Xenopus tropicalis: one gene and its partners. Each later gene encodes a partner of the first gene's protein in a complex. Links are inferred from orthologs where the notes say so. Each region holds a gene or a part of one and is shown in the gene's direction. Other genes may lie near its edges.

Region 1 (4,375 bases):
TGCGCAAACCAGCAGATCTGCCTCTGGTACGCATGAACACTTCCACGTTCACTAGAGCATGCATCATGACATCATGCTGGATGTGATTACACCATGAGCATTTGTGTGTGCGCATTGTTTCTAAGGTTTTGTTGGTTTTCAGTTCTGTCACACACATTGTAGACCTTCTGATTGGTTCTCTGCCCTTTAAAATCTCACTTTCACCCTTTGCCCCTTGCACAAGCTGCCTTCTGGTTCTAAGATCCTGCTCAAGCCCGTGGTTGTTGTCATTCGTTTTTTGACTCCTGCCAGGTTCTGACTTCAATTCTTGCTGCATGTCCTGACCTCGGCCAGTTCCAGATAACAGTTTAGCCTCCTCCTTGTCTGTAGCGCATTTGTGTGCAGGTTTCCTATCTGCTACGCTGAAGAAAGTTCTGGGGCCCCAAAAGAGCATTGTTGAACATGGAATACGGTCTAATACTTTTGGTTTATAGCATTGCGTATAACATTTATTTTTGTTTTATTGAAGCCTACACAAATGTACCACACCCTGTTGACCTTAAGTGGCTTTCCATTATATTTTTTCTTATTTTCAGGTTACAGCTTCACTCTTTTATTTTAGGATTATGGACCAGATTGACTCCAAAGCCAGACTTTAAGATTACTAAGAACTGCACTGTGGAAGAACCAAGTGAAGTACATCAATTTGTTTAGAAAAAACTGGGGTCTTTGATTAAAGGAGAAGCAAAGGCTAATTCTGATACCCCTGGCCGGTGCTCCTGTTAGAAGAAAACTGGATCAGCCTGGGGTATATGTGAGTGAACGTTCTGTCCTGTCTTCTTTCTTCTGAATCCCAGGGCATACACAAAAGCAGGAAGAAGGATCGCTAGCTCACATACACCCCGACTGGTGCAGTTTTCTCCTAACAGGAGCATCGATGGGGGGCTTCAGGTAATCAATAACCTTCACTGGGGCGTTCCTAACATTATATATAATACACTGGACCGCAACTCCTGCCTTTTGTAAATTAATGCTCGTTTTGATAATTCGTGAAAAAAATGGGACCCTTTGATGACAGCAGAGCTGGTGGGAGGGCGAGGAGGCACTGGAGGCAGAAATGAGACGCAAGCGACATTAATGGGTAGCATCTTGGTACTAAGATTTTGGCACCACCTGTGATTGTACCTTTCCTTCCCCTTTAAATATTGAGAACAGAGGCTCCACTAGAGGAGAGTAACTAGTAAGAACGCTAGTGAGAGCAGTAAAACAAATTCATTGTATTCAATGCCAACCATCAGGAAATAAAACCCTCTCTTCACTCCATCATAAGACAAGTAGAAGCTTGGAGCAGAAAAAAATAAAGGAAAAATGTGTTTATCTTTTCCCTTGCAGAATTCGGAGCCATAATCCCAAAAAACAAATGTATTCTTTAAGACATCATGGGATCAGAGGCCGTGGCGAAAATATTTATACCTTTTTTTTAATTTACGATTATACATGTTCCAATGCAACCACCCCGTCCACACGCTGTTACCAGTCTATACTACTGTACTGAAACCAAGCGCAATCTTGGCTCCTCCCACAGTGCGTGTAGCGTCACTACGCTCGCTAGTCGTGGCGTAACTGTGACAGTCTCGCGAGACTGTGACGAGACTCTGAGGTGCCCTGAAAGTCTGGAGCTGGACAAATGACATTGCGGGACTTTTAAACAGCGAGTTGGGATTGTGGGCTGTGTAATGAAAATCGGCAATCTCCCGCAGAAAGCGGGGCTGTTGGGCGCTATGCGGTACGTGTGTATTCGCTTCTTTAGACGCCTTCTAGTGGGCTCTAAATTTGGGGAATAAGGCAATCCTCCTGAAGCGTATTTGTCATGTCACTCCTGGACCACTATACCCCCCAAACCCTCCTCCCACCCACCCCCACACACCCCCACACACCCCCACACACCCACCCACACCCCCCCCACACCCCCCCACCCCCCCCCCACACCCCCCCACCCCCCCCCACACACCCCCCCCCCCCCCCCCCCCCCCCCCCCACACACACACACACACACTCTTCTGCTTTTATTGTGACCTGCTTCTTATTAAGTCGTGCATGTATTAGTCTCAACTTGCTTTGCAAATATAAGTGTCCGCTTAATTGCCCATTAAAATGTTGTTTTGTATTCTTCTTAAATAGTACTGGACAGTTTTATCTTGCTAAATGTGCTCTTTTTTTGTTTTTACTAAATTACACATTTCAAAGCTGCAAAGAGTTGTTTCCCTTGCTTTGCGCTGATATAGACGAAAACATGTTTTATTATAAATAAATAAATAATCCCAGCCCTAGACGGCTACTACTCTGTGAGAAATAAAGGAAAGCTGGCTTGTTTATCAGTTTTCATTAGATATAACAATATATACATAAATGAGTGGGGCAGCATTTGCCATGTTTTCAACATGAGAAATTAGCAGTTCTTGTGCTCAAATTATTTTTTTTATTGTTTATAAAGCAACTAAGAATTCTAGTTTTTTTACCCTCATTACCATCTCCATTTTCCTGTGATCAACTGAGTTGGTATATATAAAGACAAAGAGCTTGTATAAACAAGTCTCCCCTTCCACTTTGTGTATGTGTGTGTGCGAACGCTCTATCTTGTACTGGTAGTTTCATTAAAGGGGTAGTTCACATTTAAATTAACTTTTAGTATAATGTGGAGAGTGCTGTTCTGAGACAGTTTGCAATTGGTCTTCATTTTTTAGTATTGCATCTTTTTCAGCAGCTATCTGTTTGCTAGGGACCAATTTAACCTAGCAACCAGATAGTGGTTTGAAAGAAAGATGTGAATATGAATAGAGGATGATCTACATAGAAAGATTAGTAATAAAAAGGAACAATCAGAATAAAATTTCAAATGTGCCAGGGACCCCCATTTGAAAGCTGGATAGAGTTATGAGAAGAAGGCAAATAATTAAAAGCTATAAATAAAAAACAGCGAAAAGTTGCCTGGTATTGGCCATTCTACAATACACTAAAAGTTAACCTGAAGGTGAACCACCCATTTAACTAACTTCTTCTGCCACAATTGATAAAAGCAGGAAGATGGGAAATGAAAGTACCTGTTAGTCAGTCAGCAACTAGAAGGCGACATGGGACATAACTTTTCATTTAGTTTGTGACTATGCAGGTTGGGGTCAAAAGCAAACTAACTGAAGAGTTATGTTCCATATGGCCCCCCTTCATGATGCTGACAGGTCAGAGTGATGCAAAGGAGGATGTTATGTTCTGGCTATTACAGTAGACATCCGTTCACTCCAGCTTTTATACATTTTTTTGCTAACTATATTAAAACATTTATTTTTCTCAGACTATCTTTTACCCAGTTTTATATTTACTCCGAATTCTTCCTTTTACAGACAAAGAAAGAGTTAATCACTAGGGGATACCTCTTTTGATTATAATTGCTAATTTCAGATTGCAAATCCTTTGCAGAAAAATGAACTGGCCTAGGGTACTATTCTACAAAGTGCTGCTAGCCCTTGTCCCAGGGATACTTTGCAGCTTTATAGGCTGGGTCACATGAACAGTAGAGTAAAATCAGAACTTAGAAAATAAAATATGAACATTTACCCTAATGTGCATTCATAGGGGGGAATTTATGAAGTGCAAAAAAACCTGAAAACTTGAATATAAAAAATTTCCTTATTTATTCGATTTAGAAAAACAAACTCAAATTCACAAACTTGAAAAAATAATAAATAAGCCCTATACTGTCCATAGAGCTGACCTGGACAAGACAAAATGGAGGCTTAACGCTCAGTAGTATGGTATTCTAGTCTGGTGTAAGGTTAGAAATATGATCAATGGGTGGTGCCTAACAAAGCAAAATATATGTTCACTAAAAGCCCATTTAATTGAACTTATGATAAAGAAGAAACTTTCCAACCACTCAGCACACTGTTTTAGCTTTCAGTTCCGCAGGCATCGAGAACTAGCTGTAATAACGATTGTTGACATCTGAGAGGGAATCCCCTCTGGGGTTGTTGCTGTTATTAGAATCACCATACATCTGCATAAGTCGGCTTGCAGTATACGCAATTACTGTCCGCTATGAGGGGGAATCGGTGGATGAGGATTTCTGATAATTACCAGTAGTTCTAAGACGTAGGTTCTTGTAAGGGGTTTCCTGTGTTTGGAAACTTTCAATTATAACACTCCCAACTCACACCTGTCCTGACTTTTGTTTGCTAGTTTAGAGTTTTTGTATACGCATATTTTAAAAAAAGATTTAATGTGTCTGGCATACTATTTAGAAGGGGTGGCACAATTTATGTTTTAGGGTAATTTGCCACTTTTCCAGTAGTCCAGTATTTTGATTAATGCCCATTTTTGAATGGGGATGGACCCCGATTTT
Region 2 (3,425 bases), about 96 Mb from region 1:
AATATAGTTGGTAAATTGGACCAGTGAGGTAACCCATAGAAACCAGTTCATTTTAATTAGTCAATTTACTTCAAAATACAAATAAAAGAGATTAACTAATTGCTACGTGTAACTGCACTGGTGTCACTAAACTAGCCCCACTGTATTCACTACTGTGTGCTAGTAATGTTTATTGAAGAAAAGCAACAGTCTCTGATGTAGTTCTCATATAGATATCATAGGATTAAGTAGGGATCTGAATATTTTCTGATAAATGCCAGTCTATATAGTGTTATATACGAGTATCAAAAAACTTGGTCCAGCAAATCTATACAAGTAATTCCACTATGGTAGGTTTACAAACATACTCCATGGACTCCTTAAGTATATGAAGAATACTCATACTCTTATTGCTCTCAGCACAAATATACATGTTAATCTATGACCTACAAAGGCCAACCATATGATATAGAATAAAATTGCAATGAGGCTGAAAACAGCAACAGGAATAGCAAAAATGAGTTAAAAATACAGTGAAAGAGTAGAATCCGAGGTTGATTTGTTTTGCTAAGGGGGGGCACATAAGGGATATCTTCTGGTTGGACACCCCACTGTACACTGTTTTGCTGCAGTCTGTATTTCTAGTTCAGCGCTGCACCTCGAGATTTAGCAATAAAACCCCTTTACACACCAAGCTTCCCCCTGGCCGGAAATGTGAAGATCAATTTTTACTAATTAATCCCCTGAAGACACCATGTGCTTAACCTTAACCCCCTAAACACACAAATATATATGTATGAAGACAGCAAATACTCGCCGTACAAACTGATTGTTACTTTGTTATTTATTATAAAAGTATTTTTCATTTCTAGGCGTGCAGGGGATATGACGTTATGGGCCCACTCTCTTCCGGGGCCCGCGTTGGGTCAGGAGGAGCCGTCGGATTCTGTTTTTGATTTACTAGGCCCCATAAAGTCCACTCCGTCCACCGGGATGTCCTTGTCCTTAATGGCTTTCTGAATAAAGGAAAGGGTATTAGTGCGCTGCTATAAAATGCCCATGTTATTATCACTATACAGAGTGCATTACCCACCTGAACACAATCTCTATACCGCCTGAAGAGCTCGGTGCACGGATCGCCACTACATTCTCCCTTTAAAAATTTCTCCGCAAACCAGCGGTTGAAGCACTGGTCATACTCCCGCTTCATATCCGTGCATTCCTCACCCACGCTGTTCATGCTGCCCGCAACAAACTCCTGACGAACACAGGTATTTCTTCACCTCGCAAATCTTTCTACGGAGAGCGAGATGCCGCGGCAGCCATCTTGTCCTAGGGCAGAGTCGCGACTGTCATCTTACAACACAAGCACGTCTATTGGCTGAAACCTTTTTTTTTTTTTATAAATGGCCGCCATCACCTCTTCATCAAGGTTACTGGAGAAACGCACGGTGGTGGTTCTAATATGACGTCATATTAAAGAGCCGCGCAAAATGTGGTTCCGAGCGCCGCTCTGCACCGCTTGGATTTCTGGTTTCCGACGTTCGTTGTCGGCGCAGAGTAAGGTATCATTTAGCTTATAATGACACTGCGCGTCAAGGTTTAGTCTAACGAATATCCTTGTACGACGCTGAAGTCGGGATTCTTATGTAGATATACCAGCTCACGGGCTTCCAGCTATTGCTGGACTACAAACTAGTAGAAACCGCTGTTGGGGATTAAGATGTCGCTATTTTCAATTTATAGGTACCGCCTAAACCAACATGGGACCTTCAACCCGAGATCAGAAACCAGGTGCGCACTCATATGCATGATTATAATTTAGTGCATAACTTAATTATGTATTACGGTTTCTCTATGCGCCCCCTACTGTTCATGTGTGCTCTATTCCCAGGTCATGTTAATCAAGAAAAGTATATAAATGTAAAACTACCTCTAAAGACAGACTATATATCACGTACATAATACATTTTACCAATTTTCAGAAACCCCTGATTAGCCTAGACACAATTGACCATCTTGAGCGGCTAGCATTAGTGGATTTCGGAAACGTAGAAGGCGTGCAGCGGCTTGAGAAGGCCATACAGTTTGCTGATCAGCTGCACAATGTCAACACAGAGGGAGTGGAACCTTTATCATCTGTGTTAGAAGACAGGTAATGTAATCTATATCTTCAACCATATCTCCCAATGATAAGTCTAAAACAACTGGACTTGCAAAGTAATCTTGAACATTTCACTACCTAGTAGTAAACTGTTTTAAGATTATTCAGCAAGTCCAGTTACTTGACACTTATCACTAAGAGATACTGCATAAATTAATATGTTATCATTTAGCTACCATGATAGAGCAGCAGCACAGGCTTGATACTACTGCTAGATTTATATATACTTTTTTGTGAAGAGGCAGTTTCAAGTGTTTGTAATGTGTTTTGCAGGACCCTATACATAAGAAATGATGCAGTTGCTGCAGGAAATTGTACCGAACTGCTCCTAGAAAATGCCAGAACTGTTGTAGAGGAATATTTTGTAGCACCTCCAGGTATTAAAGGTTTATATTTATATCCACAAACATTAATATAGATCCATTAGATGTCCTCATTCTCTTTTCTCCTCTTAATAAAAGGTAACATCCCTTTACCAGCTCAGCATGAAAGAGGTCTGTCTGAAGTCAAGAGCAGCTCCTGAACATCAAGGACCGGAATAGAAACAGCATAACAGCTTACTGTTTATTAGGACAGCTACAGATGCTTATTTTTATTTAAACTGAAACACTTTCATAATAAAAGGAACATACGTACAAACTTGATTGTGAAGAGGATTAAAAAGTTATTCCAAACTATACCTTTCTAACATACTGATGGCATTTAACTATATGTAGGACACATGTACTTTCCCTTAAGGTTGCATTGGTTCCATTAGCATTCTACTTGTTAGTTCCAGTATAGCAATTATGCACAGCGCATTTAACACAATTTCAGATCAGGCCATCCCTTCTTCCTAGGAGGCACAATACTATCTTTTGCCTTCTTGAAGATAGAACTTAAAAGAAAAAAACACCACACACCTTATGTCAAGAAAACATTTCTTTAAAAAAAAAAAAAAAAATGGTATAAAAGTTGATGAAATCCATCAGTCGTGGAATGTTGTTCTGAGTAGATGGGATTCAGAATTCAATTCATAGAAAGTGTCCCTATGGTGGCAACTTAGTACGGTCGAAAGGGAGAAGCATAACGAGGCGAGCGGCGGCTTTGATAAGGGGAATCACGCCCTCTTGAACGGGATCTGGAACGGGAGTAGCTGGTATTTCTCTCTGGGCACACACGGATATAAGAAGTTTCACCCTTTGGGGGAGAAAAAAAAAAAAGTTGGAAAAGAAAGTAACAGCCCAGAATGTACCCTATGTAAATATAAAAATAATGCTACCTCGTGGGAGCGGAATTTTGT
Region 3 (2,416 bases), on another chromosome or scaffold:
CAGATGTAAAGGGGTCATTCAACTTTAGATTAAATATTAAGTATGATATAGACAGTAAAATTCTGAGGCAATATGCAATTGGTATTCATAATTTATTGTTGTGGGTTTTTTTGTGTTTTGAATATCAGCAGTCTTGTTGCTAGGGTCCAGATGAATAGGAGAGGGCCTGAATGGATAAATACGTAACAATAAAATAGAGCAGTAGTATTTTTTGCCTGCTAGTGGCAGTGATCCCAATCGGAAAGCTGGGAAGAAGCAGAAGAGGAAGGCAAGTAATTCAAAAGCAAAACAAACAATGCGTAGTATATTAAACTGAATAGAGAACTATGTTTAAAATATAAGGTTTTGAAAACTGGTTATACATTAGGTTGAATTATTTAATAGCTGTGGTCATTTATGCAATTCTGTCATACAATATTGACTGACACGTCAATGTATATATTCCTTTTCTCCTTACACACAGACATACACATTCATCCACTTAGTACATTTTTTATAAATCAGATTAATACACTAATATAATGTTTTATGGTTTTGTTAGGCTGTCTAAATGTCTATCTGACTGGCTAAATATTTTATAATTTATATGTATTTTTCTATAATATTATTTCCACACATTAAATATACTTAAAATATCACCTTGGTGAGTGGTATCTGTTAACCATAGAACTTACCTAAATTTGTTAAATATACAGTAATTTTTACAAACTTTCTTAATTCTTTGGTAAAAGTTGATTGCTTGATGTCTGATTGTAGGAACTATGAAAAATATTTTGTGAAGGCTCAGAAAGTTCGGCGCCTGATAGCAGATGATTTTGTTAAGGTGTTTAACTCCGGAGTCCATGTTTTGCTAACTCCGACCACACTAGGAGATGCAGCTCCCTATTTAGAGTTTATCCAGGAAGACAATAGAACTCGCAGTGCTCAAGAAGATGTCTTCACACAGTGTGCCAACATGGCTGGTAAGAGCATTACATGTCTAAGGGCCTAAAACGAAATGAAAATGAAATGACCTATGATTTAAATTCTCGGTAACATTAACGGACTAGTAACACCAAACTGTTATAAAGAAAGGCCCTTTTTGTCCATTCCATTCAGTGTAGCGTAATTAATACATATTTATAACTTTCCCCAAAAGCCCTGCCAATTAAACCTACTATTTTCAAAAGGATACGTTATTTTGTTTTAAAATGATAACAAATTTTTGAAAAACCAGTGACCATTAGGTGTAATGTGCATTCACAAATCTTTGCTTTGAAAAGAAACAGGAATAATGGGAAAGTGGATAAAGATTGTATTGCTTAGGCTTTCAGATTGTAACAGATTGAAATGGTAAATTCGGACTTTGCAGTCATAACTGCAGCAGGAAGAACCAGCTATGTTTGCCCATAGCTAACCAAAATGATAACATAAAACTGCCATCATAGGTATCTCTTTATAGAATCCACATCCACATTTATTATAGTATAGCCTTTAATATTACCCTTTCACTGAGTATATTATCATTACTATAGATGTAGTTTTGGTGCCTCAGCTACTAAAGTATGCATTTAAAACATTTTTTATATTATACATTTTTTTATGTTTTTTTTTTCTGCAGGCCTCCCAGCCGTAACTGTCCCTGCGGCCCTTTCTAGTAGGGGATTGCCACTTGGCCTTCAGTTCATTGGCCGTGCTTTCTGCGAGCAGCAGCTCCTCACAATCGCTAAATGGTTTGAAAAACAAATTGACTTCTCTCCCTTACAGTTTAACAGAGACTCGGAAAATGGGAACATAGTTCAGCAATACAGTAAATCTGCTTCCTCTGTATAGGAAAATAAAGAAACTCTTTAATCAAAGATGATCTAATTCAGAAAAACTTTGCATGGTTACATTTCAGCTGTGGCATGACACAAGGTACAATGATGAAGGTATATTATGTGAAAATAGCAAACAATGCTGTAATCAGTATTCTAGGTAGAATGAAGGGTGCTGCTTGCTGGGCTAAAACACTGGGACAACACATTTCAGTTAAATGCAGTTTGAGTAGTTGCTTTGTTTTAGCAGCAGTTAACTGAATACTGCATTCATATATAGCACTTGCTATGTAGCAAGCATTGTGGATTACACTTGGCCTATAGTGTTTTTGAAATACAAATTTTCTGCTTTTATAAGCACAAGTATAAAAGCATAGTCTGAAAGAAAAGTACAGTATATGGGGCCTATTCACTAAACCTCGATTAAGTATTTCTGAGCTAAAATCGTATTTTTTCTACCTTATCAAACATTTCGTAAAGTCCACAATAATTTAGTTAAAATTCCACTACTTTTTTGTGGTTTTCATTAACTTCCACAAAAAAGTTGTACTTTTCGTAATGACTAAGACGATTTCGGAATTCATTCAAGCATTGGTATCGTGACTCTTTTAGCCAGGTTG

The links.
Region 2: gatb (region 1) and gatc share a complex: the UniProt entries of both Homo sapiens proteins name them as parts of the heterotrimeric GatCAB amidotransferase (AdT) complex. The link is inferred for Xenopus tropicalis from reciprocal best matches to the Homo sapiens genes GATB and GATC.
Region 3: gatb (region 1) and qrsl1 share a complex: the UniProt entries of both Homo sapiens proteins name them as parts of the heterotrimeric GatCAB amidotransferase (AdT) complex. The link is inferred for Xenopus tropicalis from reciprocal best matches to the Homo sapiens genes GATB and QRSL1.

What each region holds. Positions count from the first base shown.
Region 1 is NC_030677.2:55,986,523-55,990,897, forward strand, and holds the start of gatb (glutamyl-tRNA(Gln) amidotransferase subunit B, mitochondrial), read left to right. Parts: upstream 1-1,570; 5' UTR 1,571-1,715; coding exon 1,716-1,765; intron 1,766-4,375. UniProt on the Homo sapiens protein: Allows the formation of correctly charged Gln-tRNA(Gln) through the transamidation of misacylated Glu-tRNA(Gln) in the mitochondria. The reaction takes place in the presence of glutamine and ATP through an activated gamma-phospho-Glu-tRNA(Gln).
Region 2 is NC_030677.2:151,737,929-151,741,353, forward strand, and holds gatc (glutamyl-tRNA(Gln) amidotransferase subunit C, mitochondrial), read left to right. Parts: upstream 1-1,441; 5' UTR 1,442-1,472; coding exon 1,473-1,544; intron 1,545-1,725; coding exon 1,726-1,773; intron 1,774-1,964; coding exon 1,965-2,134; intron 2,135-2,416; coding exon 2,417-2,520; intron 2,521-2,604; coding exon 2,605-2,666; 3' UTR 2,667-2,787; downstream 2,788-3,425. Other genes in the region: triap1 (TP53-regulated inhibitor of apoptosis 1), read right to left, coding at 906-995, 1,073-1,219; srsf9 (serine/arginine-rich splicing factor 9), read right to left, coding at 3,185-3,322, 3,405-3,425. UniProt on the Homo sapiens protein: Allows the formation of correctly charged Gln-tRNA(Gln) through the transamidation of misacylated Glu-tRNA(Gln) in the mitochondria. The reaction takes place in the presence of glutamine and ATP through an activated gamma-phospho-Glu-tRNA(Gln).
Region 3 is NC_030681.2:79,110,721-79,113,136, reverse strand, and holds the end of qrsl1 (glutamyl-tRNA(Gln) amidotransferase subunit A, mitochondrial), read left to right. Parts: intron 1-756; coding exon 757-962; intron 963-1,600; coding exon 1,601-1,812; 3' UTR 1,813-1,838; downstream 1,839-2,416. UniProt on the Homo sapiens protein: Allows the formation of correctly charged Gln-tRNA(Gln) through the transamidation of misacylated Glu-tRNA(Gln) in the mitochondria. The reaction takes place in the presence of glutamine and ATP through an activated gamma-phospho-Glu-tRNA(Gln).